Linked DNA regions of Pelodiscus sinensis. The protein of the gene in region 2 interacts with the protein of the main gene of each other region in a pairwise test. Links are inferred from orthologs where the notes say so. Each region holds a gene or a part of one and is shown on either strand. Other genes may lie near its edges. The genes, in order: SKIL and NEFL.

Evidence for each region.
Region 1: the proteins of NEFL (region 2) and SKIL interact in binary tests that used the Homo sapiens proteins (3 or more experiments, as listed by UniProt). The link is inferred for Pelodiscus sinensis from reciprocal best matches to the Homo sapiens genes NEFL and SKIL.

What each region holds. Positions count from the first base shown.
Region 1 is NC_134720.1:38,846,581-38,862,684, reverse strand, and holds the start of SKIL (ski-like protein), read right to left. Parts: upstream 8,696-16,104; 5' UTR 8,554-8,695; intron 7,971-8,553; exon of another isoform or gene 7,905-7,970; intron 7,080-7,904; 5' UTR 6,315-7,079; coding exon 5,208-6,314; intron 1-5,207. UniProt on the Homo sapiens protein: May have regulatory role in cell division or differentiation in response to extracellular signals.
Region 2 is NC_134738.1:9,666,323-9,682,557, forward strand, and holds NEFL (neurofilament light polypeptide), read left to right. Parts: upstream 1-8,426; 5' UTR 8,427-8,689; coding exon 8,690-9,757; intron 9,758-12,418; coding exon 12,419-12,543; intron 12,544-13,561; coding exon 13,562-13,878; intron 13,879-15,135; coding exon 15,136-15,311; 3' UTR 15,312-15,688; downstream 15,689-16,235. UniProt on the Homo sapiens protein: Neurofilaments usually contain three intermediate filament proteins: NEFL, NEFM, and NEFH which are involved in the maintenance of neuronal caliber.

The DNA.
Region 1 (16,104 bases), on a different chromosome or scaffold from region 2:
ATTTCTTTAAAAAAAATTGCTTACTTTTATCAAGTTTTTGGCATATAGAATAAAGAAATGCATTTATATTTGTATTATGGTAGCATCTAGGACATCAGTCAAGGATCTGAAGACCACTTGGTAGATACTAGACAAAACTCAAATCCAGTCTTTACATGTGAAGTCCTTCATCAGAAGCATATTGTAAATGGAGGATGCAGAAAGACAGGGACAAGAAGCAATGAGGCTTAAACTTCAGCAAGGGAGGTTTAGGCCAGACATTAGGTAAAACTTCCTAACTGTCAGAGTGGTTAAACACTGCAATAAATTGCCCAGGGAGGTTGTGGAATCTCCATCTCTGGAGATATTTAAGAGCAGGTTAGACATCTATCAGGGATGGTGTACAACAGCAATGCTCAACCTTTTTTAATTGGCAACCCCCAAGGCCAGAAAAATTTTGGTTGAGGAAAACCCCCCCACACTCATTTTGTTGTGACCCCCTTTAATTTAAAGCACCAGTCCGCTCCCCTGCCACTCCCCCCCCCGCCGCATATGTCAGGAAAACAAAATGGTGGCTGGCCCAGCGCTGCGACCCCCCAGGAAGACAGCCGCGACCCCCACGGGTTGTGCACCACTGGTCTAGACAGTACTGGGTCCTGCCATGAGGGCAGGGGACTGGACTCAACCTCTCGAGCTCCCTTCCAGTTCTAGTGTTCTATGAGGGGTGAGGTGATGAGAGGAATAAGCTACTAAAATGACCGTAGCAGCATTCTGAATGGACTATAGGGAGATCAAAACAGGTATAGGTGAGAAGATGTCTGCAGCAGTCAAGGCGAGAGATAAGGAGATTACAGTGATCTGGCCAAGAGTTTAAGAAGCCTGGATAGACAGGGAAGGTTGAATCTTTTATCTGGTACATAAGTTGCAAGATTAGACTCTGCCTAAACACATGGGTCCGGAGACATGGCTGTAATGACAATTAGGCTACATGGGCCTTGGTGGAAAGAAAGGATATAAAGGTTTGGGGGAGATACCAACTCAATTTTGCCAATAAGTTTAATTTACATATGAACAGAAGAGCAGCCATACAAAGTCAGACTAGCCCAGTGGCCTATCTCTGACATTCATCAGTGCCTGATGCTTCTGGCAGATGGAGATTTAGGGACACCAGGAGCACAGAGCTGCATTCTTGGCCATCTTGCTAATAGCCACTGATGGACCTTTTCTCCATTAACTTATCTAATTCTTTTTTGAACCATTAAATACTTTTGGACAACATCACATAACAATGAGTTCTACAGACTGACTTTACAATATGTGAAGAAATATTTCCTTTGTTTTAAATTGTATTAATTTAATTGGGTGACCCCACATTCTTGGTTTATGTGAAAGGGTAAAAAAGCACTTCCTTAGTTACTTTCTCCATACTATTCATAATTTTATAGACTGCTATGATATGTCTCCTTAGTAGTCACTTTTCTATGATGAAAGTCCCAGTCTTTTTACTCCCCCCTCATATGAAAACTATTCTACACCTCTAATCATTTTCATTACTCTTCTCTGAATTTTTTCTACTTCTACTCTTTTTTGAGATGGGGGACCAAACAGCATTCAGAATATAAGGAGTTGGTGTAGTGGCTTTATGGCAGTTTCTGTCTTAGTATCTATCCCTCTCCTAAAATTCTATTGGTTTTTTTTGACTACCACTGCACACTTGGCAGACATTTTCAAGGACCTATCCATAATGAGTGGTAACAGCTAATTTAGAACTCAACATTTTGTATGTATAGCTAGGATTATTTTTTGCAATGTGCATTACTTTGCATTTATCAACACTGAATTTCTTCCACCATTTTGCCACCCAGTTTAATGAGATTTCTTTGTAATTCTTCAGTCTGCTTCTGACTTACTGATCTTGAATAATTTTGTATCACCTGCAAATTTTGCCACTTTCCTTTTCCACATCATTTATGCTTGGTCCCAATATATATATTTTGAAGGACTCTGCTATTTACCCTTTCCATCAGTGTAGCAAGTATATATGCTATAGCATCATACCTGCTGTACAGCAGCTGCACTACTGTAGCATTTGTAGTGTATACATGCCTTTACAGAGATCATTAGAGACTTTATGAGTGCAGTTTCAATGGAATGAAGAATGTGGAAACTGTATTGAGTCTTAAGAGCCTCCTGATTTCTTAATATGGCAGGGGAGGCAAAAGAGGGGTGCTGATGTCAGGGTGTCCCCCTCTCACTCTGTATCCTCTCTCACCAGAGCACAGAGGGGGCACAACAGGATTTTGGATGGAAGGAGTTTGCTGGCTGGTTTTGGGAATGAGAAAAGCCAGGGCAGGGGTTAGTCTGCTTTAGCCCCACTGCACAACCACCCAGGAACCACCTGAGGTAAGCAGTGCCCAGCTGGAGCCCGCATCCTGAAACCCTACTCCAGTCATGAACCGCCCTCCTACATCCCAAGCTCCTGTTTTAATCCCGAGTTCTCCTGCATCCAAACACTCTCCCAGAGATTAAACCTAGAACCCCCTCCGGTACTCCAACTGCCTTCCCCAAGCTCAGCTCAGAGCCTCTCTCACACTCCAAATCACTTAATCCAAAACCAAAGTCTGACCCTGACCCTCTTCCCCAGCCTGGTGAAAGTGAGGGAGGATAGGAGAGGGAGGATGGATTAAGCAGGGCTGGAGCCTCTGAGAAGGCGCACAAAGGAGATGGGGCAACAGTATTTGGGTTTGAGGTAGATCTCGTACTGTACTGAAATTCAAAAAGTGATCTTGTGCTTTAAAAGGTTGGAGACCACTGCTGTATTGTTAAGAATCAAGAACTGAGCTGAATGAGAGTCAATACATCAGCTGTAGACAGACAGCTCAGTTAACTTGGAGTTGAAGGGCAAAAAGGGAAATAATTTTGGTGAAACAGTTGAGGATAAGGTGGTTTGTTTTTTTTAATTTTTTTTTAAAGATAAATGAGATCAAAGATTACTTGTACTGTGAGAGGAGTGAATCTGGAGAGTGAAATGTTCAGAAGAAAGGTGAGGCAGCTCTGGGTCTGAAGGAGTTTGATTTCATTACTTTGAATTCTTTTTTCACTAATTTTTTTTAACTTGAGTTTATGTTGTTTTCCTGTTCTGCAGGTGCACTGTTTCATTATCTTTTGTTTCCCTTTAGCAGCAAAAAATTGAAGTGGGCCAGTGCAAAGTTATAAAATTGTATTTATCAATCTATTCCATGTCCTCTATTGAGGGGCAAGTTTCTGCAAATGCAAACATGGAAAAAACAAGACAAACTAAATATTGCCTCTACTGCTCTTAGACTTGCTCTGGGCTGGAGGGTTTCATGGACTGGACAGAGCAGAGACCACCTGAACATCATCCTTGTTATTTTGGGGGTCTGCATTTAACCAGATTGACAGAGTCAGAGCTTTAGGCTTTAAAATGGTCATGGAGGGGTAGAAAGCACAGAGGGATTGCACAGAAATAATATTTGTACTTTTGGAGCTGCTATACAAGTGTGTAGCACAGAAATGATAGAGCAATATTGTAGTTAATCGTTCTAGGAGCAAGCACACCACCAATTATACTAAGAACACCAGTGTAAAGTTGGTTAATTATATATGCTTCAGGATTGCTAAAATGTCAAAAATCTCTATTGGGCCAAATAATAACTATCACACCACTGTTGTAAAGTGGACAGCCCCTAGGTCCCTGCACTGATGCTTCCCAGGACTTGATTCTAAGGGTGACAACTACCTGTGATATTCATAGCTAGCTGCTGCTCCCACTGAAACTGATGGCAAAACTTGCATCCACTGTAATGGGTGTGTGATCAGGTCTGTAGCTTGCAAGTGGACTGGTAAATGCTTCAAAGAACACAAGGTAGCAACAGGAAAAGGGAAGCATTCACAAACCTCAAAGATTAAACTCTCCCTACAGAGAAATTAATACTTCCACACAAACATACTGACTCTGGTTCAGGTACCAATCACTTGCCCTCACTTCTCTAACTCTCTTGTAACCCGCTTCTTCAAGCACTAATAATTCCTTCCCTACAGCTGTTTAATATTTGGCTAATATGTGTCTTATTATTCAGATTATAAGCTCTTTATGGCACAAACTACCATTTTTATGAAGCATCATATACGCTGTGTCTACACTGGCAAGTTATTCTGGAAAATCAGCCGCTTTTCTGGAAAAACTTGCCAGCTGTCTACACTGGCCGCTTGAATTTCCGGAAAAGCACTGACGATCTAATGTAAAATCATCCGTGCTTTTCTGGAAAAACTATGCTGCTCCTGTTCGGGCAAAAGTCTTTTTCCAGAAAACTGTTCCGGAAAAGGGCCAGTGTAGACAGCACAGTAGTGTTTTCCGCAAAAAAGCCCTAATTGTGAAAATGACGATCAGGGCCACGGATGCTTTTCCGGAAAAAGTGCTTTTGCGGAAAAGCATCCTTCCAATCTAGACGCGTTTTTCCGAAAATGCTTTTAACGGAAAACTTTTCCATTAAAAGCATTTCCGGAAAATCATGCCAGTGTAGATGTAGCCATAGACTTAGAGCACTACTTTTTTGTAATAAAAATATGCCATCCCAACAGTATCGCAAGATGTCAACAAAGAATTCTTAGCTTGCTTAAAGAACCTCTTATGGCATATCTATATTATATATAATCAATGCAATAAAAAAACCCAAACATTACCAAAACTTTCCATTTTTAAATAATATCTTATCAATGCACCATTACCTTAATTGAAAGACTATGGCATGCTATTGGGTGCTTGGCAAGCTAATTGGATATTCGCCATGGATATAGTTAAACTTGCTTTAACTGACCAATACAGAATTAAAGCTGAAGCTCCATTCTTAGGCTCCTTCCTGCTTTGCTTACACATGGCAACATACACTACATATAATATCACACAAAAGTGGCAGATCAAATGAGAGGACAGTATTTCCATAAGGATACTAAAGTCCCTGGTTTTTGCCAGTTTAAAGAAAAAAGGAACCTAGTTTTTTAGTCTAAAATTTTTTTTTGCAAGTTTTGTACCACCATAAAAACCCCAAACAAGAAAGGAATTTTCATTATTGCTTTGTATTATGTGTTGAAGCTTTATAGTAGACTCAGCTTATGCTTAGCTTAATACCTGTTCACATTGATAAAACTGAATACTTTTAAAATAAATTTCATTTTTGATTCAGAAATTTTTCAATAGTCAAACTTACTTTGGATTGTGTTCTTTTCTGATTTTTCATGCTAAACTTCTCCTTCATTTCCTCCAAAAGATGCTTCAGTTCTCTCTCTTCTGAAGTGCCTAAATATTTTTGGTTAACATGAAGATAACAATGCCATTTGGCTGATTCAAAGCCCCAGTGGCAGGTCCTCTTGTCAGGAGATCTATGTGAATGCATCACAAATGTCTGGGGTGAAAACATTCCATAGCACTCCAAACACTGAATACATGGAGCATCCGGCTGAATGTAAAATTGAGGTGCAAACAAACCCTGGCACTTGCCCAAGCACTCATGCTCTACCTCAAAGGCTCTGCCAGTCTCTTTCAGTTGGACCAATGTGTTTTTTGCAGGAAGCAGAGTGCCATTTTGAGGAAAAGTGCGAGGACGCAGTAAAGCATTGCATAGTCTTTGAGCATCAGTCAGTGTGATCAACCCACAGGATGGGGCATTAAATGGAAGGATTCCCAAAACCTTTAGGATATGAAGCTGGTCAGAAGTGCACCTCGAGCAGTATATATACAGTTCATCACACACTGTATTAATTTGCTGTAGTGAAAAATCTCGGAGCACTGAATTCAATACTTGAGGCAGACAGAGTCTCTTTTCCCCTCCAACTTTAAAACAAGAAATAGATTCTCCCTCCAATACAGTCTGAGTGAGCTCTGTAGAACTGTCTGAAGGAATGAGCAATGGGCTAGGAAGTATCTGTGGTGATGGAAGAGGCACAAAGACAGTGGGTGACATGCTTTCCTGGGAATAACGAGCTGAAAAAGCTGCTGGCCCACCCAGTGAACTCTGGCTGCTTAAATGGAACTGTGCCAATGTGTGTTTCAAACCAGGATTTAAATTCAAAGGCTCAGATATTGTAGTACTGTTTGGTTTGGCATTTTCTCCATCAGACTCCATGGGAGTTTCTTCATATTCATCCACATTTTCCTTTTTTATCGTTGGCAATTTATTTACTACAGCTTGTACTTTGCTATTTACATGCTTTTCTGTCATTATTTTTTTTACTGGTGGACTGCCATCTTCTTGGATCCCACACTCTTTTTGGTCAGAACCTGCACTTACAGGGAAATTTGTTTGTGGACTTTCCATCACTGAACCTCAGAATTTTAAATAAATAGGTTTGAAATGTGCATTTTTCTAGTATGTGTTTAATTTGTATTTCTTAAAGACACGCCAATTTCCAAGTACTTTAATTATCTCCTGTCCAGCAGATATTGTGCTATCTCCTTAAAGTGAGGATTTAATCTCACCTCAAGAGCTAAAAATGTAACCTATTTTTCATGTAGCATAAAATTCAAGGGTGGAAGGGTTAAGCAAGAGTTTTCTTTTGCACTTAAATATATGTGTTCAGTTCTTATATTAAAAAAAAAATCTGATTTTCATCAAATTTTTCTTTTAAAAAACATGCTGACTTTTCACTTCATATATGCTTCCATTTAAGTATTAAAATACAAAATCACTTGTTCTCAGACTGAGCAGCACTGGCGTTAATGCAATTCTTCCAAAAGATAATTTTAGTTGTGGGCATGCTTTATGCAGCACATCCCTTTCAACTCACAGGATCGAACACAGAGCTTAGTCACTTTATTTATTGTGCAGCCAAGTTTAAATCACACCTCCAGTGGTGGAGAAATGTATTATGGTAAATCTCTGTTAAGTCCACAAATTAAAGGCTGATCCAGGGTTGCTGGTAGAAACCAAACATCCCTGTAGAATAAGCATCAGTAAAAATTTCCCTAGCATCTGTCAGTTTTCCTATCTCAACTTATTGGCAATGAAAATAAGATCCAGGCCATATACGAGATTCATAGTTTGGACTAATAATACAAATCTCTGGCAATCCTTTTATATAACCTGTAAAAAAAGGAAAAAAATCAGTAATCATTCACATGTGAAGAGTAATACCTTTATCTAAAACAGTCCCTGAATCTTGAAATGTATTCAATATATCACAACTGGAATATGCTCCCTAAATAACTAACTCTTAACTAATTTGCAGAAAGCTTGGATTTAGATATCATAAACCCTATTATGACACATGCATAAACCTGGCACCAGCAGCATCAACATAACTCATTGAGAGTGCTGCAAACATGTGGCAAAGGAGACACATGGGGGAAATCACCTAATCCTTCACCCCATTCAATGCTTTGCAAACTCCAGGGACAGAATCCAGGAAAAAAAGTGTGTGGGGGGTTGTACTTTCAGAGATTGCAGGGCAAGAAAAGGATAAGGGGACAAACTAGCCCCCATTTCCTTGAATATATAACTGAAATTAAAGTATTTCTCCTAACTTCAATCTTCACACTTTTTACAGTTAGTGCAGTTCAAATAAATTCAACATACAGGTAATTAAAACTGAAAACAACCTAGACTCTTTCCCAAACCAGACACTAGGCAACACCCCTACTGCTATCTCTGAGCCAACCTCAGTCTATACGCATGTATTCTTCCAAAGCTCACTCGTTATATTCTCCCTGAAACTAAGGTCCTCCCTCTCCCGTGCTTTCCTCACACAGCGGCCCTCCCTGGAATAACCCCGACATTCACCACCATCCTGTCTCTCTCACACTCCACCCAGACTATGCCCCCCCCCCCCGTGACTCACCTCCACCTCAGTCACACTCAAGCATTACGCACGCTCTGATCGGACAGGACTCCGCCACATACAGGACTTACCCTTCCTCCTTCCACAGACACTCCAAATACTGAAGTGATCCCTCATTCAAACCTACCACTGACTCTTCCACCCCCCCCCCCACCCACACCCCGCCAATTCTCGCGTAGCCCCCGGTTCCCACTGCTCCCTGGCACCGACCCGCAACACAACTTCTCCTCGGACCAATCCACACACACATACACGCTCCCTACCCCCCCCCCCCCCAGGCTCCCCCTCCCCCACACACCCTACCACCCAGCTCTTCACATCACCCCAGGGGACACACACAGCCCACGCGCCTCCCGACCGGAAACAATTCCCTTCCTTCAGAGACTCCCCACATTACCCCCCCCCCGCTTGTGGGGTCACCCTCCCCCACAACGCCCCCCCCTTCCACTAAGCTCCATCCCCCACAGACAGTCCCCCAGCTGGGGAATACTGCTCCCTCCCACACAGACGCCTCTGGACTAACCCCTCCCCCCGCACAGACACTCTGCCCCCGCAGACAATCAGCCCCCCCCCCCCCCGTCTCCTCCCTGGATTTGTCCCCTTCCCCCCACAGACACTCCTACCCCTCTCATGAATAGCCTCCCCTCCCCCTCGCCGCCGCGCACGCTCTCCGTACCCCCCGCTGCACCGCCCCGCCGGCAGCAGGCCCCGGCTCCTCACCCTGCATCGTGGGGACCCCGACACCCCAACAGTGGAACAGAAGCCGCGCACGCACCGCCCACCCGTGACCTCACTGCGGAGACGGCGGCGCGCGGGCACCAACCCGGCGGGTGCGCGCCCCCGCCTCCAGCCCCGCCCACTGTCTGGGGTAGCGCCGCGGCGGCTGCCAGCGGCTTCCCCTCCCCCCAGGCACAGCGAAAGCTGGTGTCGCGTCGGGGGCGGAACCTCGCCTTCCTCCCCACACGGCGCCTCCCCCCCCCCCCCCGCCCGGACAGAGCCAGGCACGGAAGCGGGTCTACACATGACCTGCTCCTTCAGCCCCCCCTTCGGTCATTGACCCCAGGGGCCCCCACCCCTATGCAGCTTCCCCCCCCCCCCCACGATCCCATAGCGACCCCATCTTTGCCCCATGCTCCCTAACGCCAGGAGAGCCCCAGCCAGGTGCCTTCCACATAGACCATCCCCCACAGCGGCTCTCCACATTACACCAGCTGCGTCTTGCCTTACAACTCCCAACGAGCCCCCTTTTCCACAGCAAGCCCTGCCCCACTGACCCCCTCTTCCCACAGAGAAGCTCTGAGACCCACCTCAAAGCTATCCCGCTTCTCAGCCAGCCCTGCATCCACACGCAGGGGCCAGTGTGTCCCTTCCTCCTTGTGTTGGCCTCCAGAGTCAGTCTGTACAAAGGCCCCCATTGTGTCACACAAAGCTGATTCCTGCTTCACCATAGTGACTCTCCCCCTCCAGGGGTGAAAGTAACTTACATTTTTAGAGGTACTCTTTTATTGCCCCCCGGGGGGGGAGATCAGGGCAGGGGTGCAATATGACAGTATCCTTTAGAGAGGGCAGGAGGTGAGGGGGTGTGAGGCCCACCCCATTCCTATCCACACTGCTCCTTGCTGTTCCTTTAAGGGAGGGGAAAGCACACAGCATGTGTCACTCACTCCTTTGCCTCCTTCTCCTCCCCAGCCAGGAGGGACAGGAATGCAGCTGGATACTTGCTTCCTGGGAATCGTCTATACGGTAGCATTCCAAAATAACAAAGAGCACGTCTGCACTACAAACCTTTATTTCACAATAATGTCAAGCTGAGAACTTCTTACTCCAACTCCTGTAACCCTCATTTTAGGAGGAGTAAGGGAAGTTGAAGAAAGAGTGTTATTCCTTCAACTTCCTGCTATGGAGACAGCGCCTAAAGTTGAGTTAAGCTATTTTGACTTAAACTACACAGTTGACGTAGCTGAAGTTACATAGCTTAAGTCGACATTAGCCATGCTGTATAGACATACCCTGAGAGTGAGGGAAGTAGAACAAAGCCCCTGCCCTGTCCCTAAAGGGTGCAGAAAGGGAGGGTTTTCTGGTTTCCTGCTGCTTACTATAGCAATCTAAAGGAGAGCCAGGGGAACCCAGCTGGACATGCACCCTCCAGTCCAGCAGCCCAGACAGCTTTTTCTGGAGCAGAGCACTGAGGTACACCGCCTTACTTTCACCTCTGCTCCCCACCCAGCAAACTTCCCTTGAACTCCTAAACAAAGCCCATCTCCCTCTCCACTGCTCATGGCGACCTCTCTGATACCCTTCCAGGGCCCTCCACCAAAAAGACTGCCCTCCTTCCCAAACATGTACAATGCAAAACCCCCTTTCCTCCATTTTGAGACAAAGATGGAGACCTGGGTGAAGGGTTGGAATCTGGGGGTGTTATAGCTGGGGTAAAGGAGAGAAGAGACAACACACTTCCCACCCTGCCAGCCCCCTGCCACCAGCCCCAGCTGGGGCTGCATTCCTCACTCCAACAGCCCCACTGCCAGCTGTCCCAACCCCGCTGCTAGCTCACCACTGCACCAGCCTGGGCTGTGCTCCCAGCGACCCGCCTGGCAAGGGCTCCTGACCACCAAACCTGCTGCCGCTGGTCAGGGCTTTGCTCCTGACCCTGGCTGCCTTTGCTCCCAGATGCGCTGTTTGGTCCAACAATATCCATGTCCTACCAGACCAGAAAGCACAGGATTTCAGAGGTTCAACCTGTACAAACAACCAAAAGAGGAAGAGGAGGTGGATGAGGATTTTTATAAACAACTAACAAAATGATACAAAGCACAGGACTTGGTGGTGATGGTGGACTTTAACTACGTAGACATCTATTGGGAAAATAACACAGGAGAGCATAGATTATCCAACCAAATTCTTGGACTGTATTGGAGACAATTATTATTACACAAAGTGGAGAAAGCCACAAAGGGAGACGTTCTAGATTTGATTTTCACAAATAATGAAGTATTTATAGAGAATTTTAAAGTGGAAGGCAACTTGGGTGAAAGCAATCATGAAATGATAGCATTCATGATTATAAGGAATGATAAAAGGGAAAACATCACCATAAAGAAAATGGATTTCAAGAAAGCAGACTTATAGCAAAATCAGGGATTGGTAGGTAAGATCCATTGGGAAGCAAGTTTAACAGGGGAAAAAAGTTGAAGTCAGTTGGTAGTTTTTCAAAGAGATATTGTTAGGGGCACACGAACAAATTATAGGAAAGATAGGAAGTACAGAAAGAGACTGTCTTGGCTTAACCAGAAGATATTCAGTTAACTGAAACTCAATAAAAGAATCCCACAAACGGTGAAAACTAGGTCATAGAATCAAAGAATCATAGGGTTGGAAGAGACCTCAGGAGGTCATCAAGTCCAAACCCAAATAGACTCTACACCACCAGAAATAAAACCTGTTTCCATCTTTTGTGACTTTCAGTTAGATGTGACTCACTATCCTCTGCTTAGTGTTCAAGTTATGGTAGACCCTAAGCCAGGTCATATTAAGTTCAGGTCTTTAATCTTTTAATCATACAATATGGATAACAACATTTCATTCTCCCAGCTCCAAGTCTTAAGTGAATTTCAACCCAAAAGAGCCAGAATTGATCACCTTGACACAGGTGGACTGTGTCTACACTGGCAAGTTTTTCCGGAAAATCAGCCGCTTTTCTGGAAAAACTTGCCAGCTGTCTACACTGGCTGCTTGATTTTCTGGAAAAGCAATGACGATCTACTGTAAGAAATCAGCCGCTTTTCCAGAAAAGCTTTGCCGCTCCCGTTCGGGCAAAAGTCCTTTTTCCGGAAAACTGTTCCGGAAAAGGGCCAGTGTAGACAGCTAGCTACCGCTTTTCCGAAAAAACAGAAGAAACGGAAAAAAGCGGTTTGGACGCCTGGAGACCCCGTAGGAGCCCTGGACTTCCTGGTAACCCAAGCTCTTAAAGCAGTCGCAGGCTGCTGAGCGCACGTGGCAGAAGCGGGCCTCAGGCCTGCCACTGAGCTCTGCCACAGCGCCCCTGTCCTGCCCAGCCAAGCCTCACAAGCCAGCCATGGCAGCTCCTGGTGGTGAGCCCCCTGCACTCCCAGCTCAGGAGGCCCCCAGAGGCCGCAAAAGGCGGGCTCCCTCTGGACCCCCAGGGAGCTGGAGATCCTCCTGGACCTCTGGCAGGAGGAGGATGGTCTCCATGACATCCGGTCCTGGCGCCGGAATGTCGACATCTTTGTCCGGATGGCCGAGGCTCTGACCCAACAGGGATACCCTGCCCGGAACAGCGAGCGAATCCAGGCAAAAGTTAAGGAGCTCCAGCTGGGGTACGTGCGGGCCAGCAAGGGCAGGGGGGCAGGACCAGACACCTGCCCCCATTACGACTGGCTGCATGCCATCCTTGGGCAGCCAGCCCTGCAAGGCCCGGACGTGCCCGTGGACACCTGCCAGCGCCCCCCCCCCCGTCATCCGAAACACTGAGGCAGGGGAAGGAGAGAACAGTGGTGGCGCTTCAGGAGAGGAGGCCAGCGTTGCCATCCAGCAGGCCCCCTCCAGCAGCTCCTCCTCCGGGGAAGGATCCACTGGTGAGTCTTTGCAGTTTGCACTCACAAGGGCGGAGGGCGGAGGGCGGGGGGGGGGGGGGGGGGGGCGAGAGCCAGGCACCTGGAGTGGGGAGGGGGAGAGCATGCCACTCAGGCCACGTGAGTTGCATGCTGTGTAGCATTAGGCAGCAAGCAGCACGTGCAACCACATGCAGCCTGGTGACCAAGCAGCACGTGGCCGCAGCAGGCAGCTGCAGGGCACGCCTAGGACTGTGCTGCTCACACACATTCGGCGAGACCAGGGGAAAGGGTGGATGCCAGCTGGAATCAGCCAAGGCCCCAGGGACTCAGCCCAGAGCCCTCACCTCCGCCAAGGGTGCAGCACAGAGAACTGCACACTGTCCCATGCCTGGCTGTGAGGCACAGCCAGCTGCTCTTGGGTACACCGCAGCATCACAGTCCTGTGAGCGTGGCCCCCACCGAGCCCCTCACTTGCTCCCGGTGCCTTGGCTGACTCCCCGAGGGAAGTCCCCACTGTGGCTACACATGTCCCTGGGCTACCGGGGTTGTGGGAGGGATAGTGGGAGGGAGAAGGCCCGCCCTGAGTTTTGCTGCAAGGATGGGACACCCCCTTTCCCCAGTCACTCTTCTGGTTCCGCCCAGGAGATATCCCACACGATGGGATCTGAGAGCCCAGACCACCTCTGCCAGATGTGCTCCCAGGCACTGTGTGGGGATGCATCTCGCTCCCTGTCAAACACCAGTGATTAGCCCAAAGCTTCAGTCTCCACCAGCAGGGAGTTCCACAGGTGAACGCAACACAAGCACCCTCCCGCCCTCCACGGGGCCAGGACACAGACCGGTGGTTACAATACTGGAGGAGGGCCCTACTCCAGGGGCGGTCCTCCTTGCAAACATACAACACAGGGGGCAGGAGGGGAACCAAGTGGGCCCAAGCCACACAACTGTGGGGTCACCTGGGCTCAGGGGTGGAGGGCATGAGGTGTGGGGGGGGTGGAGGGCCTGCCTGACTGACCCATCCTTTCTTCTCTTCCCTACAGCGGGACCGAACACAAGACCCTCCAGTCCAGCAGCAGAGGCACCCCCAGCTGGCCAACCCCGGAGGCGCTGGCTCCGACACCAGGACCAGCTGCTTCGCCGCCACATTGTAGCGGTGGAGGCAATCCAGGCCTCCATTCGCGAGCGTGTGCAGGGGGACCTGCAGTGGCGGCAGGCGGCCTGGGGTGCCTTCCAGGCACAGTGTACAAGGATGGCCGACTACATGGCCATCCTCACTACACACTTTGTGCACGCCGTACATTATAGCATGGCTGTACCCCATGCCCCCTCCTGCCCCTGCAATGGCCCCTGCTCCTATCCCAGCTCCTGCCCCTGCTCCTGCCCACCTCCCTGTGCGGCCTGCCCCGCATGTGCAGGTCTGCCCCCGAAGGAACGCTCGCAGGGGCCACCCGTCCCAGTAGCTCCTCCCCCTCCCCGTCCCAGTTGAAGGTCTCCTCCCCCTCCCCCTTGTAAATAAAAAGTCTATTTTTCAGTTGATTCTTGTGTGGTTATTGTGTTACTCGAGGTAACTGTAAGAAATGCTTTGAGATGCCAATTAGCCACCTAAATTTAAAAGGGTTACAAACTGTGGACACCAAATTCTGTATTCTGTCACCGGGGGTCCTTTTTAAGTGGCCATTGGTTTGTGGTTCATAAATAAATACTGAGACTTTTCAGTAAAATTTAAACCACAAACTATATTTAACACAGATAACAAACAAGCAAGAAAGGTTAAAAGACGCACACTAAAGATTATGTAAACATAGTCTAGGCGCAGGGAGGATGATTGGTAGTGTTGCTGGCAAACTCAATCCTTTGGTCCTTCCGGGCCTTGGGAGAGGAACAGCCAGGAGATCCCTCAAAGATGACTGGAATCAGGTACGCTGACTTGAGCCTTCCGCACGAACCCTGAATCCTCTTCCCTGTTCTTCGGGACAGGCAATGGTGGCCTAAACCCTAGCCTAAACTAAAAAGAAAAACCCTAACTACGTCCGACGCACCCGACGAACAATCACGATGACGGCCGATGTGCTTGGAACCAACGCTTTACAATTGGGGGGAGATAAGGGGAGGGGGTGGAGAAGAGTATGGGATGGGAGGGAGTCGTCTGGGGAGACCCAGGTGACCCTACTACGGGGCTTGGGCGAACATGTCCACCAGGGCCTCTCTGATGCGCACCCCATCCTGGCGCACCTGGTGGACGGCAGCTGTGTGGGGCTGTGCGAACGTCTGTGCCTCGGCTGCCATCCATGCAGGGAGGAATGCCTCCCCACAGCGCTCCACAATGTTGTGGAGCACGCAGCACACAGCCAGTATCTCTGTTGCATTCTGCTCAACCATCTCGAGACAGGTGAGCAAACAACAGAAGTGGGCTTTCAAACGTCCGAGGGTGAGCTCCACCGGATTTCGGGCCCGGTTGAGGCGGTCATTGAACCGTGCCCAGTTCTGGTCCAGCCGCCCCGTGTAGGGCCGCATTAGCCAGGGCAGCAGGGGGTAGGCTGCATCCCCGATGACGCAGATGGGCATAGGCACATCCCCGACATTCAAGTCCCACCGGGGGAAGTAGGTGCCCGCCTCCAACCTGCGAAAGAGTCCGGAGTTGCGGAGGATGCGGGCGTCGTGTGCCCAGCCAGACCAGCCCCCGTAGATGTCCAGGAAGCGGCCCCGGTGGACCACGAGAGCCTGCAGAACAATGAAGCAGTAGCCCTTCCGGTTCATGAAATGGGCTGCTCGATGCTCTGGGGCCCGGACGGGGATATGGGTTGCGTCCAGGGCTCCCCCACAGTTGGGGAACCCAAGGGCAGCAAAGCCAGCCATGGTAGCATCCATGTCGCGCAGGCGGATGACTCTTGGGAGCAGGACGTCGTTGATGGCGTGGACAACCTGTAGAAGGGTGCAGAGAAACACAAGGGAACACATGACATACGGCAGGGGTGAGTGTGCGCTCCCTTAGCCCCCCCCTTGATTCCCTCTGTCCTCACGCACGTGCGCACACACACACACACCCCACGGCCCACCCCCACCCCCACCAGCGGGCCTGTGCAAGGGAGGGACGGCCCAAACCCCTGGAGTCTTGGCTGCCCCTGGGCATGGAGTGCTGCACCCTCCCCCCACCCCACGACCCCTGGGACTTACCTCCACGACGATCACACTGACGGTTGATCTTCCCACCCCGAATTACTGTGCCACCAAGCAGTAGCTGTCCGGTGTGGCCAGCTTCCACAGTGCGATGGCGACCCTCTTGTTAATGGGGATAGGTGCCCTCAGCCGGGTGGTGGATCTCTGTAGCGCGGGGGTGAGCCAGGCGCACAGCTGCAGGAAGGTCTGCTTTCTCATGCGGAAATTCCGGAGCCATTGCTGGTCGTCCCATTGTCCGAGGACCAGCCGGTCCCACCAGTCGGTGCTGGTGTCCAAACTCCAGACTGGCCTCTCCACGGTGGGGTGCTGATGCCACAGGGCCACCAGGGCCTCCTGGGTGAGTGAGTTGAACGCGATCTCTGCCTCCTGGTTCTGGAACACAAGAGCACCGGCCTGCAACACGAGCTGCAGGCACTTGCACAGCTCCAACAGGGGCCCGAGCAGGCACATGGCCACCCACGACTCCATGGCAGACAGAGCAGGGCAGAAGAAAGAAAACACAGGAAAAAGCAGTTGGGGG
Region 2 (16,235 bases):
GTCGGGAACAGCCACTCCTCACTGGCAAAGGGGGGTGGACCTACTGTCCCTGCTTACCATGGCTGCCCCTCTCAACCCCAATAGCTTCAGGCCCTGCAGCCTGGGGGCTTGCTTAGCCAGAGCTCTGCCTTCCTTCTCCAGCACTGAACCTCCAGCTTCCCAGGCAGCCTGCTCCCCCAGCCAGCACAGTAGTCAGCTCTCTCTCTACTTCCTCCACCAAGTCCTTCTTTATACACCCCCCAGCTGGGCCCTCAGTAGCAGAACTGCCTCAGCTGGGGCTTCACTCTCAGCCCTCACTCAGGGCTGGGGTTTTGCCCTTAAAGGGCCAGTGCAAGGCAAACGCCCTGTCACAGACTCCAATAATAAAATAATGACAGCTGCTCGGTCACTGTGCAGCCAAAAGCAAGTAAGAACTCCATGGAACCGAACAAATACCTATGAGCAATTATGTCCTGCATAGCTATGTACTGTACAAGATGCGCCCCTCCCCCCCATCCTTCATTGCTTCCTATTGAAGGTTTATTTAGGAAGTTGAGTTTTTTTGTAAAAGGCAAGATCCATCCCTCGGTCCCAAGGAACAAACGGCATTAGAATTAAAGGTAGAAACATCTGAGCCCCTAGAACGGCTTCTCCAGTCTGGCGCCCGGCCGTGGCACATTGTGGGAGGTGGCCGTGGACAGCTGCTGCCCTTGGTGCTCTGGAGGGGAAGAGTGTGTCCCCAGGTTGTCTTCTGGGGCTTTTTAACCAGCGATACCTCTACGTAGGAGACACAAGGCCTGGGGGAGGGGAATCCTCTAGCCACAAGGTAAAATGCATCAGAGCATCGACCTGCAATCGTGCGCGTGGGGGCGATGGGCAGCGAGACAGGGCGTCACCCCCCGGTTCAGGTTACACCGTGTATGGCACCGTGGGAATGACACAACAGCACGTGGTGACGTTACATATGAAAACTGTGGGGCTTGAGTCTGCTCCATGGGGGGGTGCTTGTCCGGAGGGGAGAAGGGCAGCTGCAGGGAGGCGGCTGGGAAAGGCAGATTCGGGGGTCAGCCGAGCTTACGTTGCTGGTGTCAGATCTGATCAGATGCACCAGCCTCTGCTCTGCCACACCCTTCCCCGGCTCAGTCCCCCGCTCAACACCCTGCCCTGACACCTCCAAGGAGCCCTGCCTTCCGTCCAGTGGAGAGTGGCTGGCCCAGAAAGGAGCAGAGCCATTTCCATGAGCTTTTCACCATGAGCTTTTCACCATGGGCGGTGGCTGACCTCGTGGGTTGGGGGAGGCAAAACCCCCACCCTTGCCTCTTCTGCATAAAGCCTTGCCCCTGCCCACTGTGGCCACTGCTGGCCTCTGCCCAGCCTCACAATGGGGCTGTTATGTCCTGCTCCCTGCCCTAGGGTCGTGCCCCCAGACTGGGATATCCTGGCCGCGGCCTGTCCTGGCCCTAGAGCTCCAGAGGGCCAGCGAGCGGTACTGATGCAGCCTCTGCTGGTCCCAGGACTCCGGAGAGACGATGGGCAGCATGGCTGCAGCCTTGCCCAGACCCAGCGCTCCAGCGGGCAGTGTAGCCCCAGCCTCCCCTGGCCCCAGAGTGCTGGAGATAAGAGCCAGGAGGGACAGTCCCAGCCACCTCGTGCCGTGTCTGCTGGACTCCCAAGCAGAAAGCCCCCCCCACACGCTCTGGCACTGGGAGGAGGGGCGGTGTAGCCTGCCTGCCCCAGACTCAAGAGCAGGCTGGGGGAGGGAGTCTGAGGGACTCCGATGGAGCATAGGCAGGGCCAAGTGAGGCAGCTGGGGAAGGCAACGCCTCCCTCTGCCTATGATACCCGCCGCCCATGCTTTTCACCACCAGAGGGCTCACGGGCACAGCGGGTGTTCTCCGCTGGCTCTCTCAAGAACTGTGCTGCCCAAAGTGGCCATCACAAGCCAGAGAACCCGTTCGGTGCCTAAATCCCAGTGACTTCTACGAATGGGAAACGAGGCCTGCGGAAGGGGAATCTCCCGGCTGCAACATAAAATGCATCCGAGTGTGATGATGGCGAGGGGAAAGGCATCCCGATGGTCGAGCAGACACTGGATATATAACTGGATTCTATTGAGAGGCGGGTTTGCTGCCCACTCATGGCAGATGTTTCTTTCCAAGCAATCTCACTTGTTTTCGCCTAGGCAGAACTAGGAAGTGGCTGAGCAGCTGGTATCCCTTTGGCCCGAGAGTTATTTCCATAAAATTCAGAGCCAGGACTTTGGATTCTTTCCCTGGGAGTTTCATTTGCATGGAACTGGGAGACCCGTGATGAATGCATACAGCCGGGGTGCAGCCTCAGGTTTTTGCTGCAGCGGAGTCAAATGGAATCAATGCTAAACTGCTGGCTGACTCAGCATATCCTTATTGTTCAGGTTTCTTTCAAGTGAGCACTGACAAGGCAGACAGCTTTTCAGGAGAGGCAGCAGGAGCCCTTGCAAGCTAGCGGAGAGCCAATCCTCACTTCTCTGCCACTTTTAGGTTGCTTTGTTATTTATAGTAAAACATCAGGGTGTAGACCGGGGTGGGCAGTCATTTTTGACAGGGGAACACTCCAAACATTTGGAAAGTGGTTGAGGGCTGCACTCCTCCAGGATATTAATGGAGGGGGTGTGGGGGTCTGGGATGGAGGTTGGGTGCAGAAGGGAGTTTGGGATAAGGGAGGGAGCTTGCGTGAAAGAGGCAGTTGTGACCTGGGGCACTGGACTGGGGTGCAGGGGGTTGGATTGTGAGCTAGGGCAGGAGGGGACTGTGATCTGGGTCAGGGGATTAGGGTGCTGGATCTGGGAGGCAGTATGGGTACAGGAAGGGGGCAGAGGATTTGGGTATGTGGAGTAGGGGGGCAGGAGTAGGGGGTAGGAGGTTGAGGAAAGAGGGTGCCAGAGGCAGGGTCTGGCCAGGAGACTTACCAACCAGCAGCCTGTTCCTGAATCAGCCTCCCTAGCTGCCCTGCCTGACCTGACCCTGCACAGATGGCAGCCATGTGCTTCGTGAATAACTACCAGCCCCTTGTGCTTCGTGGCTGCCTGTTATTGAAACAGGCAGCTCCCACTGGCCAGTTTCTGGCCAGAAGCCGGCCAATGGGATTGTGCTGGTGGGTGGGAGCACCTCCTAAAGCTTCCCCCCATTCCCTCCTGGCTCAGTTTTTAAAGTGAAACTGCCCCGCAGCTGCATTTCTGAGCAGCGTGCAGGTTGGGCGAGGCAAACAGGGAGTCTGCCTGGGGCTCCCCGCAGCATCTGCAGGCCAGATACGGTGGCTTGGCAGGCCAGATCCAGCCCACAGGCCATATTTTGCTCAGGGATTTGTCTTGACTTGGGCAGGGGGCTGGACTTGATAACCTCCTGAGGTCTCTTCCAGCACTGGGATTCTATGATTCTAGACTCTGCTCTGGGAGAAAAAAACCGTAGGACAAAAAGGCAGAAAAAACAGCATGACCCTAATACGGAGTGGGCAGGTAATATGGCCGTGGTTCACCAGGGTTAGCCCCGGGTGGGCTGCCACTATATTTACCTGCATGTCTATAGATACCAGTGATTGCAGCTTGTAGCTCCCATTGGCTGAAGATTGCTGTTCCTGGCCAATGAGAATGGCAGGAAGTGGCATGGACTGGAACACTGCTCCCTGCAGCTCCCATTGGCCAGGAATGGTGATCTATGGCCAATGGGAGCTGCACTTGCCAGTACCTGTGGCCATGCAGGTAAATATAATGGTGGGGCCTGCCAGGAGTTAACCCTGGTGGACTGGATCCAGCCCGTGGGCCGGTATTTATCCATCTTTGCCCTAATATTTATGAGCTTCCAGGGGATGATGACTCCTTAAAGAGTGACTTTTGTTTGCTTTGTTCTTGTCCTGGCTAACAGTGTCCCCACTAAGCCACGCAGAAGCCCAGTGCTGCAGCTGGGATGCAGAGGTCTCGGTAGGGTCTGAGAGCTGGTCGACACAACACCTGACACCAGTTGTTGGGCTTTGTACACTTTTCATCTCCACCCGGGGACTCCTGAGGAGAGTGTTACATCCCCAGACTTGTAATCTACCATATATTTGAGAGAGTTTGTCAGTTTGTTTGTCTGTTTGTTCAAGAACTCCTCCTCAACGGTGAGAGCTAGGATCACCAAACTCAGTATCATCACTTAAAGCAACATAAGGATTTGGTTTGCCAGGAAAATGGAACGTGCCTGGAATGGGATTGCTTCTCATAAAGCCATGCAGAAAAAAGACAGAATCACCAAGCAGGTGAAAGGGGTTGGCTGGGGGTGTTTCCCACCCCATCTGGACCATCTTAGCCCTGAGCTTCCCTCCCTAGGCACTCTTCTGGGAAGGCTGGGGGGGGGGACCCCTTCCATTGGTATGGGGACATTGCTGACGGTTCCCCTTTGTCAGGGAGTGAGAGGAAAGTGCACTGCTTCCTGCATTCTCCACTTGCTGCATTCCCCACTCTGGCTGGGGAGCGCAGGGGCCGGACAATCTGTGCACTTTGCTCTTGTTCCCTGACAGGAAGGGGAAGAGCAAGCAGCCTTGGTACAAATCGCAGGGTGGGTGTTGTGAGGGTGGAGGGAGGAGAAATCCCTCCTACACACTGTGACGTAGTGGGGGGTACTTGCTGGGATGTGGTGACCCCTGCTGTCTGGAGCAAGACCCAGCAGGGAAAGCCTCACTAGGCAGAGGTAATGCCAAACTTGTTGAACCAGTGGCCAGACACCCCCCATGGAGAGGAACAAAGGAAGGTGGAATGCTGCCCTGGCTTGGGGGGCAGGGCTGGAAGAGGGTTTTTTAGTTCCTCGCTGGAAGGCAGGGTATAAGGAGCTGGGGAGGGGGCTGGGACTCCCCTATCTCAAAGGGGGGGCACTGAGGCCTCTTAGCCCCAGTTCCTGTAACCAGATTACATCTGTGCTGCGCTGTGCTGGAGGAGCAATAAACCACCCTCAATTCCACTGGCTGGTGCAGTCTGTTTGTGCCATTTCGGGGTGCAGGAGACGGGGAACCCCCAACGCGCCGTCACACACACACAACCCTACAGCCCTTTTCCCTGAGCCCCTCCTTAAGGACCCAAGCAACACCGGGTAAATGTGCTCTCCTATATAAGGACCAGTTATTGTTGTTATCACAAATCCTATTTCCCTCACATCTAAAACTCTGATATTATTAAAATAGTAAATAAAACAGTCATAAAAACTAGAGGGCCAGTTCTTCACATAGCACACAAGAAAATAAGAACATAAGAACAGTCAGACTGGGTCAGACCAAAGGTCCATCCAGCCCAGTATCCTGCCTGCCCACAGTGGCCAATGCCCCAGAGGGAGGGAACACAACAGGTAATCCTCATGTGATCCCTCCTCTGCCACCCATTTCCAGACAAATTAAGAACGGCTACGCTGTCACAACCAGAGCCGTCCTGTCCATGGGACAGCTGCTGCCCCAATGTTTTGGGGGACCCCATGGGGCCCAAAGAGGCTCCGACCATTAGTGGGGAGCCAGATCTTGCAAGCAGGGGTTGGGCTGGTTCACAACCTCAGTGGTGGAAGGATTGAAGGGAAGGGCTGGAACTGCCCCCCGCATTTACCAGCAGCAGGAAGCAGAGTAACGCAGCTAGGGGCTGGCAGAGCAAAGCAGGTTGGGTCTGGGTCCTTCCACTTTTCCACTCCGCTACCGGTGGGGTGTTTGTGTGTGGACCCACCCCCTCACTGGTCCTCACTTGGAGGAAGAGGGCTTGGAGGAAACAGGAATGTGGTCAAGAGTGAAGATCTGAGTCAGCCAGCAGTTTAGCATTTGTTCCATTTGCATTTCCCCCCAAATGTCTTTGCAGGCTGCACAACCCACTCATGCAGGAATCAGGGAGGTGCAGCCATTTTCATGGCATAGATTGGGGACTTAACAAAACCCCTGCATCCTGAATTAATTATTGTCATTGACATTGACTGTCCACTGCATGTGTTAGCTCTAGAGTTCACAGTCCTTAAGCTGCAGTGGAGTGACCACAATAATTTTCTCAGTGAAAAGTAAAATGTTGCAGGTACAGAGAGGCAAATGTAAAATATTTGCAGCTAGTATAAATTAGTATAATTCTGTTGTTATCAAAGGAACGACACTGATTTACACCAGGTGAGCAGCATGTTTACCATGAAGGACCTAGTTATCAGGCTGTAGTTTCTGTATCATTAACATAGTTCAATAGTTATAATTGCATATTGCATATTGCATATAATTGCATATTGCATACAAAGGAACTGCAGTTAAACACCTGTGGCTGTCCCGGTTCAGCTCTTGGGCATTTGAAGGGTGTGGATTGTGGGATTGTATAATTGCTGTGTAGACTTTGTAATATTTTAAATGTAAACACAGCCTCTGCGAACCAGTCCCCCCCAAGCTAATGGGAAAGAAATCCTGATCCATCTTTTCTAGAAGATAAAGGCATTCAGAAAACAGTATTTGCCTGTCTTCTGTGTGCCTAGATGCCACTACAACTGGTTGAGATATTTCACAGCTGTTATACCCATTATTTCTCTTCCTTTGTAAAGCAATTAAACAGTTTCAGTGTCTGCTGCTAATGAATGTGGACCAAATCCTGCAGTTTTATTTGGTTTTTACTCAGACAAAGCTTTTATTGAATAGCTAATTTTTTTGTCATTCTGATCCAGACACTATGATTGTGTTCAAGCAATTTGTGAAACTTGGACTGTTTGCTGCTTTTATTCTTTCCATCTCTTCATGTCTTACCCTTCCTGCAAAGTGATCAGGGCATAAAGGTGATTTTGTTTTCACTAACCAACAGTAAGTCCTTCAGAACAGCCTGGGGAAAAGTTTGAAATCCAAAGCAGCTGTCCAGTGGCTTTAATAGCCCTATGACATTCCTTTCAATCCGGTGCTACAAGTTGCCAGATTCATTTACCTATCTATGGCTCAAACAGGCTCACTCCATGCAAACTTTATGGGTCAAAAGCAGAAATATTCAGATAGATGGATAGCTTTACAGATATGTGTGTGTTGGTGTATTACATGGTGATAGGCAACAAGCTAACCCACTTTCCCCCCCCCCTGAATTCATATCACTGGTTGGTGTAAAAAAGGATGTAACAAATATTACAGAAGAGAAATGCTGGAAAGGAAAAGAAAGCTAGAGTTCAACAGCATGTCTGTTAGATGGATTATGATAAAACGCAAATTAAATTACAGAATACTGAATCAGATTCATATGCCAGGATTGTCAAAGGCAAATAAAAGAGTTAGGTACCTAATTGTCATTGTACTCCAAATGGGGTCGGGCAGGAGACTAATGGAGTCAGATGCCCAATCCATACTCAGGGTGTGTGTTTGTGTATAGACACTTTGTGCTAGCTGTATTCTCATTATATTACCAGGGTACCCTTGTGTTACTGCAGGGTCATAGGAGACTGACTACCTGGGAGGGAGGGGATATGCAAAGTGCTCTGATGGACTGGGAGGAAAGCAAAGGGCTGGGGGGAGGGGTACTGATGAGTGGTAAAGGGAAATGAGGGGGTGACATGGAAGTAGGTACTGGGCAGATTCAAGGAGCTGATGGGACGGATTGGGGTGAAAGGCCTTGGTGTAGCAGGAGCTGATGGGATGGTGGGTGACACAGGTAAACTGGGGGAGCGGGTCAGGGTGGAATGAGATTGGGTGGAAGAACTGAAGGGATGAGAGAAGGGTGGGGACGAGCTGTTGGGATGGGGGAGAAGGGAGTTGACTGAGTGGGGGTAGTTTGAAAGGAGTTCATGGAGATGGGGTCAAGGGGTAGTTGGGGCCAGGCTTGGGAGGGGGTGTGACAAGCTGTGGGCTGGTAGGAGACACAGGAGCTGCTGTAGGGGGATGGGCTTGACAGAGGTGATGGGGGCTGCTATGGGAGGGTGGGATGAAGGGGGAAAATGGGTGCTGCTGTGGGGGATGGGCATGAAAGGTAAGGTGGGAAGGAGGGGGCAGTATGAGCTGCAGAGGGTGGGTTGGGGGAATGGCAGCCGCTGTGCCTATGGAGCTGAAGGAGGGGTGGGGCGTGGAGACTGGGGCAGGCAATAGGAGCTGAAGGGGGTGCAGAGGGAGCTGAGGTGGGTGCTGGGGCCATGTGGGAGGGTGGGGATGAAGGGGCAGTAGCAGCTGCTGCGCGGGAATAGGGGGCAATGGGAGCTGCGGTGAAGGAAGGGGTGGGAGTTGCGGAGGGGACATGGGGATGGAGGGGAGGGCAACAGGAGTTGCTGGGGGCATTGAGAGCGGCTGAAGGGCTGGGCGATAGGAGTCGTGGTGGGTGCATGGGGGCTGGGGCGGGCGACAGGAGCTGCTGCGGGCGGGGGTGGGCGCTAGGCTGCGGGGGGAGTTGCCCTGGGAGGGGGCGGGGGGCGCTAGGCTGCGGGCGGTGGAGGTTGCTTTGGGAGGGGGCGCTGCGCTGCGGGAGAGGGCTGGGGGGGGGCGTTGCTGCGCTACGCTGCTCTGCGGGCAGGGGCTGCGCGCACGCGGCTGGAGGGAGTCGCTGCCGGCGGGCCGGCGCTGGGTGCAGCCGGGCGGGGAGGGAGGCGGCGCCCGGCCCTTCCCTTTGCGCAGCGCCCGGCCCGCTCTTGGCCTCTCCCCGCCGCTGCGTCAGCGGGCCGGGCTCCTCGCGCGGCTACAAAAGCGGCGGGCGGGCGGCGGGCGGGCGCAGAGCAGCGGCCTCTCCTCCCGCGGCGCCATGAGCTCCTTCGGCTACGACCCCTTCTTCCCCGCCTACAAGCGGCGCTACGCCGAGAGCCCCCGGCTGCACACGGCCACCACGGCGCGCAGCTCCAGCAGCGGCGGCGGCTACGGCCTGGCGCGCTCCAGCTACTCCAGCCTCTCCGCGCCCCTCTCCGCCGTGTCGGTGCGGCGCAGCTATGTCTCCTCGTCCGCCTCGGGCTCGCTGGGGCTGTCCTCGCTGGAGAGCATGGACCTGGGCCAGGTGGCGGCCATGAGCAACGACCTCAAGTCCATCCGCAGCCAGGAGAAGGCGCAGCTGCAGGACCTCAACGACCGCTTCGCCTGCTTCATCGAGCGGGTGCACGAGCTGGAGCAGCAGAACAAGGTGCTGGAGGCCGAGCTGCTGGTGCTGCGGCAGAAGCACGCGGAGCCCTCCCGCTTCCGCGCCCTCTACGAGCAGGAGATCCGCGAGCTGCGCCTGGCGGCCGAGGAGGCCAGCAGCGAGAAGCAGGCGCTGCAGAGCGAGCGGGAGAGCCTGGAGGAGACGCTGCGCGGGCTGCAGGCGCGCTACGAGGAGGAGATCCTGAGCCGGGAGGATGCCGAGGGCCGGCTGCTGGAGGCGCGCAAGGGGGCCGACGAGGCGGCGCTGGCGCGGGCCGAGCTGGAGAAGCGCATCGACAGCCTGCTGGACGAGCTGGCCTTCCTCAAGAAGGTGCACGAGGAGGAGCTGGCCGAGCTGCAGGCGCAGATCCAGTACGCGCACCTCTCGGTGGAGATGGACGTGTCGGCCAAGCCCGACCTCTCGGCCGCGCTGCGCGACATCCGGGCGCAGTACGAGAAGCTGGCGGCGCGCAACATGCAGAACGCCGAGGAGTGGTTCCGCAGCCGCTTCACCGTGCTCACCGAGAGCGCCGCCAAGAACACCGACGCCGTGCGCGCCGCCAAGGACGAGATCTCCGAGAGCCGCCGCCTGCTCAAGGCCAAGACGCTGGAGATCGAGGCCACCCGCGGCATGAACGAGGCGCTGGAGAGGCAGCTGCAGGAGCTGGAGGAAAAGCAGAACGCCGACATCGGCTCCCTGCAGGTGAGCGCCCCGGGAGTGGGCAGCAGGCGGGGTGGGTGAAGGGGAACCGTCTGACCCAGGTCACGGCGAGCGGCAGAGCCAGCAGGATATCCAGGCGGGCACCTCCTGGAATCGTCCCCAGAACCCGGCCAGGGAGCTGTCCAGCACTGGGCGGGGAGGGGGTCTGACCTACGCCCAGCCAGGGAGCTGTCCAGCACTGGGCGGGGAGGGGGTCTGACCTACGCCCAGCCAGGGAGCTGTCCAGCACTGGGCGGGGAGGGGGTCTGACCTACGCCCAGCCAGGGAGCTGTCCAGCACTGGGCGGGGAGGGGGTCTGACCTACGCCCAGCCAGGGAGCTGTCCAGCAGTGGGCGGGGAGGGGGTCTGACCTACGCCCAGCCAGGGAGCTGTCCAGCAGTGGGCGGGGAGGGGGTCTGACCGCCGCCCAGCCAGGGAGCTGTCCAGCACTGGGCGGGGAGGGGGTCTGACCTACGCCCAGCCAGGGAGCTGTCCAGCACTGGGCGGGGAGGGGGGTCTGACCTACGCCCAGCCAGGGAGCTGTCCAGCACTGGGCGGGGAGGGGGGTCTGACCTACGCCCAGCCAGGCAGCTGTCCAGCACTGGGCGGGGAGGGGGGGTCTGACCTACGCCCAGCCAGGGAGCTGTCCAGCACTGGGCGGGGAGGGGGTCTGACCTACGCCCAGCCAGGGAGCTGTCCAGCACTGGGTGGGAAGGGGGGTCTGACCTACGCCCAGCCAGGGAGCTGTTCTTCACGGCGGGATTCTTACCATGGCCCAGCCAGTACCCAGGCGGGCACCCCCAGGGATCGTGCCCAGCACCCCTACAGGGAGCTGTCCAGCACTGGGGGGAGGGGAGGGGAGGCGACTCTTACCGCCGCCTAGCCAGGGAGCTGTCCAGCATCTGCTTATGTAATGCGTACTGCAGTCCTACCTCTAGCCTGGGAGCTGTCCAGCACAGTGGGGTATTGCAGCCGCCTAGCCAGGGAGCTGTCCAGGTACGGTGCAGAACCCCCCAGAGCCTAAACCTGCTCCAAAGCCCAGTCAAGTCAGTGGACGCGCTGGAATGGTGTCCCACATGAGATTTGGATCAGTCTCTGCTCAGGGGACTGACCCAGCAGTCTTCTAGGCAGGTAAGTGCCTGCTTGCTTTGCAGGAAACCCCAGAATATCAGCAGCGCTTCTTTGCAAATAAATGCAAAATGTGTGAGGTCCTCAGCGTGAGGTCCTCAGCTCTATAGGAGAAAGTGACAAAAGATTTGCATTAAGTAGGATGCATATTAATTAAAAGAATTGTTGTAAAGGGTGAAGTTAAAATCCAGTGCCTAGCAGATAAGAACTCAGACACCCAATAAATAGTCACCACAGCAATAAAGGCTAGCAATTAAAAAGGTGCTATTGGTTATAATGAATACTTCGCAATGTTTATGACAAAACACAGTGAGCTGCATTTGTTCCAATGGTGCTTAATGCAGCACTAATTACATGACTACAATTAAAAAGTTATAATGCCTGGCATATTCATTTGACTGAATATCAGATTACAGTGATATTAACAGGATTAATATTCATTGGATTGTATTATTTATGAATTGTATATTGCTATTAATAAAATATGAATGAGCTGTATTAGTTCTAATGCATGTTAGGTGATTACATTTTAAAGGATTTAATTAATCCGTTAATGAAAAATGAATGAAATTAATTAAGAAGGTATGATAGAGAATACAAAAGGATGAAAGAATAAAAGATTAAGAAAAATACAAAAATTTCAGGAATAATTTAGCTCTTGAATCACTTATTACTGCATGTAAAATCTTATGGCTCTTACTCAAGCAAAATTCTTCATCAGCACCTGTCAGGATCCAGAATATTCTGATTATTATGTAGTCCTGGCTTCAGTGCTGAGGGCCAGAATGAAATTCCTACTGAGGATCCTTCCAATTTATGATTTAAGTTAACTGGTAGTTTTACTTTAGTATGTGATTCAAGAAGGCCATTCTCTCCTTTAGCAACCACTTCATTAGGAACTATCTAGTCTGATGTAGAAAAACATCTATTGCTTCCTTGATGGGAAAGGATGGAACTGGTGTAGATAAACATTTCTGCAGATGCAGGGAATGGGCTCCAAATCTAATGGACCATATCTTTAGCTGGTGTGAATCAATGTAGCAACCCCTGGGAACCCAGTAGATACCATCTAAGGATCTAGCCCATTGTGTTTATTGGCATAAAGTCCCATGAATTAAAGAAAAATGGCATTAGACTAAAATGTAAAATAATATTTATTGAAGTATTGTAGCTTCACGACATTACTTGCTTTATGATGTTGATGTTTAGCATTTCTCCTAAAAATGGTGGGGACTAAAATAAATGCTGGCAGCTGTTTGGGAGAAATAAGGGAAAATCAGAACCACTGCAGATGTCAAAACCATTAAATGAAATGGAGTCATAGATGTTAGACATGGGAAAACCCTACAAGGTAATGTGGCACTTAATGTAAATATTAACTTTATATTTGAGGGTAGATGTGGGGTCTATTAAACACATCCCATTGATGCAGCAGAATTTACATTAATAGGTTAGTAACATTGTTTCCAAGCCATCATTGCTGTGCACAAGGGGAACTAAGAATTTTATGTTGCTGAATATTCTCATTCCCAACAGGACACAATTAATAAATTAGAAAATGAACTGAGAACCACAAAGAGTGAGATGGCCCGTTATTTGAAAGAATATCAAGACCTTCTCAATGTGAAAATGGCTCTGGATATTGAAATTGCAGCATACAGGTATGATGGAAAAAGTGTTAAGTGAATCAGAAATTTTCTCTTGTAGCTGGAGAAATTCCGTTTTATTTTTCATCTCTCTCTCAATCTTTAAACCTTTTAGACAAATCTTTTGTGAGAATTATAGCTGCTGACTAGGTTAGTTATTGATAGACTAATGTGTCAGAGAGAGAAGAATTATTAGGTCATTTTCTCCACTCTTGTCACTGTAGTGGCAGCTTTCCTATAGAATTCTATTTTATTCTTCAGTGTTTCATTAACTACCCCCTTATCACTCTCACAGGAAAAAAAAAAGCCAACCAAAGATGATTTGAAGGCAAAACATTTGCTTCAATACGAAGTCTGAATTTAGTAGTATGCTTAGATTTGTTGAATACAAAAAAGCTTGTTAGAACTATCAAAGCCTATTTAAAACAATAAATACAAATGTTGGGATTATCAAAAGTGCCTAAGTGAGTTAGGTGCACAGATCCCACTAAAAATTACTTTTAAAAGGCTAACGCTAATGTTTGCGAAAAAGCTTACTGCGCTATCATTATTTTGTTTGACCCTCAGCATTGATGGAAACTGCAAACAGAAAGCTAAGATTATTGACTATTTGCAGCTGACTGTTGAGGCAGGAGAATATTTTTTTGTAATATAAAACTGCTTGGTATATTTATTAAATGTGGACTCCTAGGAACAAAAGAAGGTCAATTTGGTGGATGTTCCTTCTCTATGTAGCCCTGCAGAGTAACAGGACACAATTATCTTCCATTCTAGTTGTGGTGATGTTATTTTAATGCTGTTTTTCCTTCGTACCCTCTCAAAAAGATCTTTACCTCCAGTGATGCTCACCAGTGTATAATTGCCACTGGACAGTTGACTATTGTAGACTAAAAGTGTGGAAGATGGTAATTTCTTTCAGACAGGGACCATCTTTGTGTTCTGTGTTTGTACAGCCACTTGACCCACCCATGATTAGGGCTTTTAAGCAGGACTGGAGGACAAGCAATAATTAATTGTTTCTTTTTCCTCCTAGAAAACTATTGGAAGGGGAAGAGACACGGCTTAGCTTCACCGGTGTTGGAAGCATAACTAGCGGCTACACTCAAAGTGCCCCAGTCTTTGGCAGGTCTGCCTACAGCGGTTTACAGAGCAGCTCCTACTTGATGTCAGCCCGTTCCTTCCCTGCTTACTACTCCAGTCACGTCCAGGAAGAACAGATAGAAGTAGAGGAGACGATCGAGGCAGCAAAAATTGAAGTGGCCAAAGAAGCACCCCCTTCAGAAGGCGAGGAGGAGGAGGAGAAGCAGGAGGCTGAGGAAGAGGAGGGAGGAGAAGAAGCTGAGGAAGAAGGTACTTTTGATTTCTTTTGAATTCACCTCTACTTATGTGAGGCCTCAATCTGCAAATCTTTGTTAATAGAAACATGCCTAAGTCAAGCGCATAGACCCATTGGCTTAAATGGGGGCTAGTCACAGAAGTAAAGGGTTGCTGGGCTGACCCTGTGATGCATGTGTGGGAAAACCTAGGTATAATGTAAAGGCTGAGCTCAGATAAATATTGACTGTTCAACACATGATGGGGCCAATACAGCTTCCTTGGCAGTCAATGGGAGTTTTGCAGTTGGCTTTCAAAGGAAGAGCATCGGGATCATGATAATAGAAAGTGCTATTGGCAAATTCTCTAGCCAATAAATACCTAATTTAACATTTATACACATTCCTGAAAGCAACAGGAACATCTTGAACTAAATATGAATTCCCAGAGAATATCTTGAACCAGATCTGCAGCTGGCATAGATCACTACTATTGACACCAGCTGGGATTCTTGCCTGTTATTTTCACTGCCCTCCTTCCACCAAAGTACTTTTGTCCATTAATTGCTTTACTAAACGTGTACATCTTTAAAGAAACATTTCAAACCAATTATTCTCTAGAGCATCCTTCCCTAGTTCCTATTGCAATATTTTTATCCTGTCCTTGAACTTGAGAATCTTCATTCTCTTTTTGATGCTATAACCATTCTCAGGCAGCATACTCTAATATACTAAGCTATAGATGGTAAACTCTTAACTGGCTAAACAGCAGGAAAAAGAATTCAACAGGCGCATATTAATGATCCTGATTAATCCTTGAGGGAGGATTTCAGCCACACATCTGAAAGCAAATTTGTTTTTATGTAAATAGTTTTCTAAGATCCACTTAGTAGAAAAGTTCATCTGTAAGTTAATGGTGATTCACTAGACAATGAACTCAAGGGTTCATCCAAAGTTCACTGAAGTCAGTGAACGGATACCTTTTGACTTCAGTGGGCTTTGGGTTAGGGCTTAAAAAGAGTTGCCAATCAGTTGTTGTTATTGTTTAATGCAGGGGTTTCAAAGAAGCCTAGAGAAGCTAAGTACCCAAGACCCTTTGAAATGCAATATGATTTGGTGCCTAATTCCCTTAGTTCTTGAAAGACTTAGCCTAAATAAATACATCCTACATTCATATACATTTATGATGGCACCAAAGTTAATTTTTGCTCACACTAAAATCAGTAGAGGTGACCATAGCTCAGCAACTCTACATGCATGATGCGAAATGCTTATTGCTGCTCAATTTTTAAAGGTGCCAAGGAGGAATCTGAGGAAGCCAAAGAGGGTGAGGAGGAGGAAGGAGGAGAAGAGGAGGAAGCAGAAGAAGGAGAGGAATCCCAGGAGGTTGCTGAGGAAGCTGAAGATGGGGAGAAGAAAGAAGAGGCAGCAGGAAAGGAAGAGAAAAAAGAGGAGAAGAAGAAAGATTGATTTAGACTGCGTGTTGGTTTCCCAATCAGGTCACAAAACAACCCTCAAATCTATTGAGCTAAAAATGTCGCACCATGTATTTAATTCAGAGACAATTTAGGTTTCAAGTTCTCTGTTTTCCTCTATGCACAGTATCCGTATGCTTGCAGAGTGCCTATTGGCTTGCTTCCAGAGTATGCATGGTGTTTACTTATCGGTTCGGGAGTTATGTTCAATTTGGATGATTCAGAACCTTAAAATGAAAAATATTAAGTCACACGGGAGACAAAATATGTTTAAACTAAATTCAAAATAGTTATGGAAACCTTGAGTGGTTATAGTAATGAAGGCTTCAGTAAAGTATGTGCGATAAAGCTAGACAATAAAGAACTGCATACACAGTTTTCTCATAGTGTGTGTCGTATGTTACCAAATACATTTGAAAATGACTGATGAAATTCTATACATGCTTAGAGCCAGTCCTAATGCTCCAGTCCTATATAGGTGCACATGTAATATTGGCGACTATTCCATTTCAGCTGGTGCTTTTGGGGATGCAAACATTCACTTCTCATTCACAAATTCTTCATGTGGTTCTTGGAACATAATCTGTATCTGAACAGTCTAAATAGTGAAAGAAATAACTCAGAGAAGGTATAAGTCCCTCCCCTAAGCTGCAAAATGTAGCATATGGACAGAATAATAGGACCATAGAGAACTCCACTGAAGTAATGGTGATTCCATGCAGGCACAGCTGTCTGAGTATGGCTCTTAGTTGCATAATTTAAAGCCATAGTCACTACACTTCTGAAAAGATGTTTGCATTGCAGCTTGGGAACTGCATTGCACGGATAGCTACATCTACACTGCAGAGCTTATTTCAGGATACCGGAAGTATCCTGAAATAGCTATTCCGCATCTTTAAAGCAGCCTGTTATTTCAATA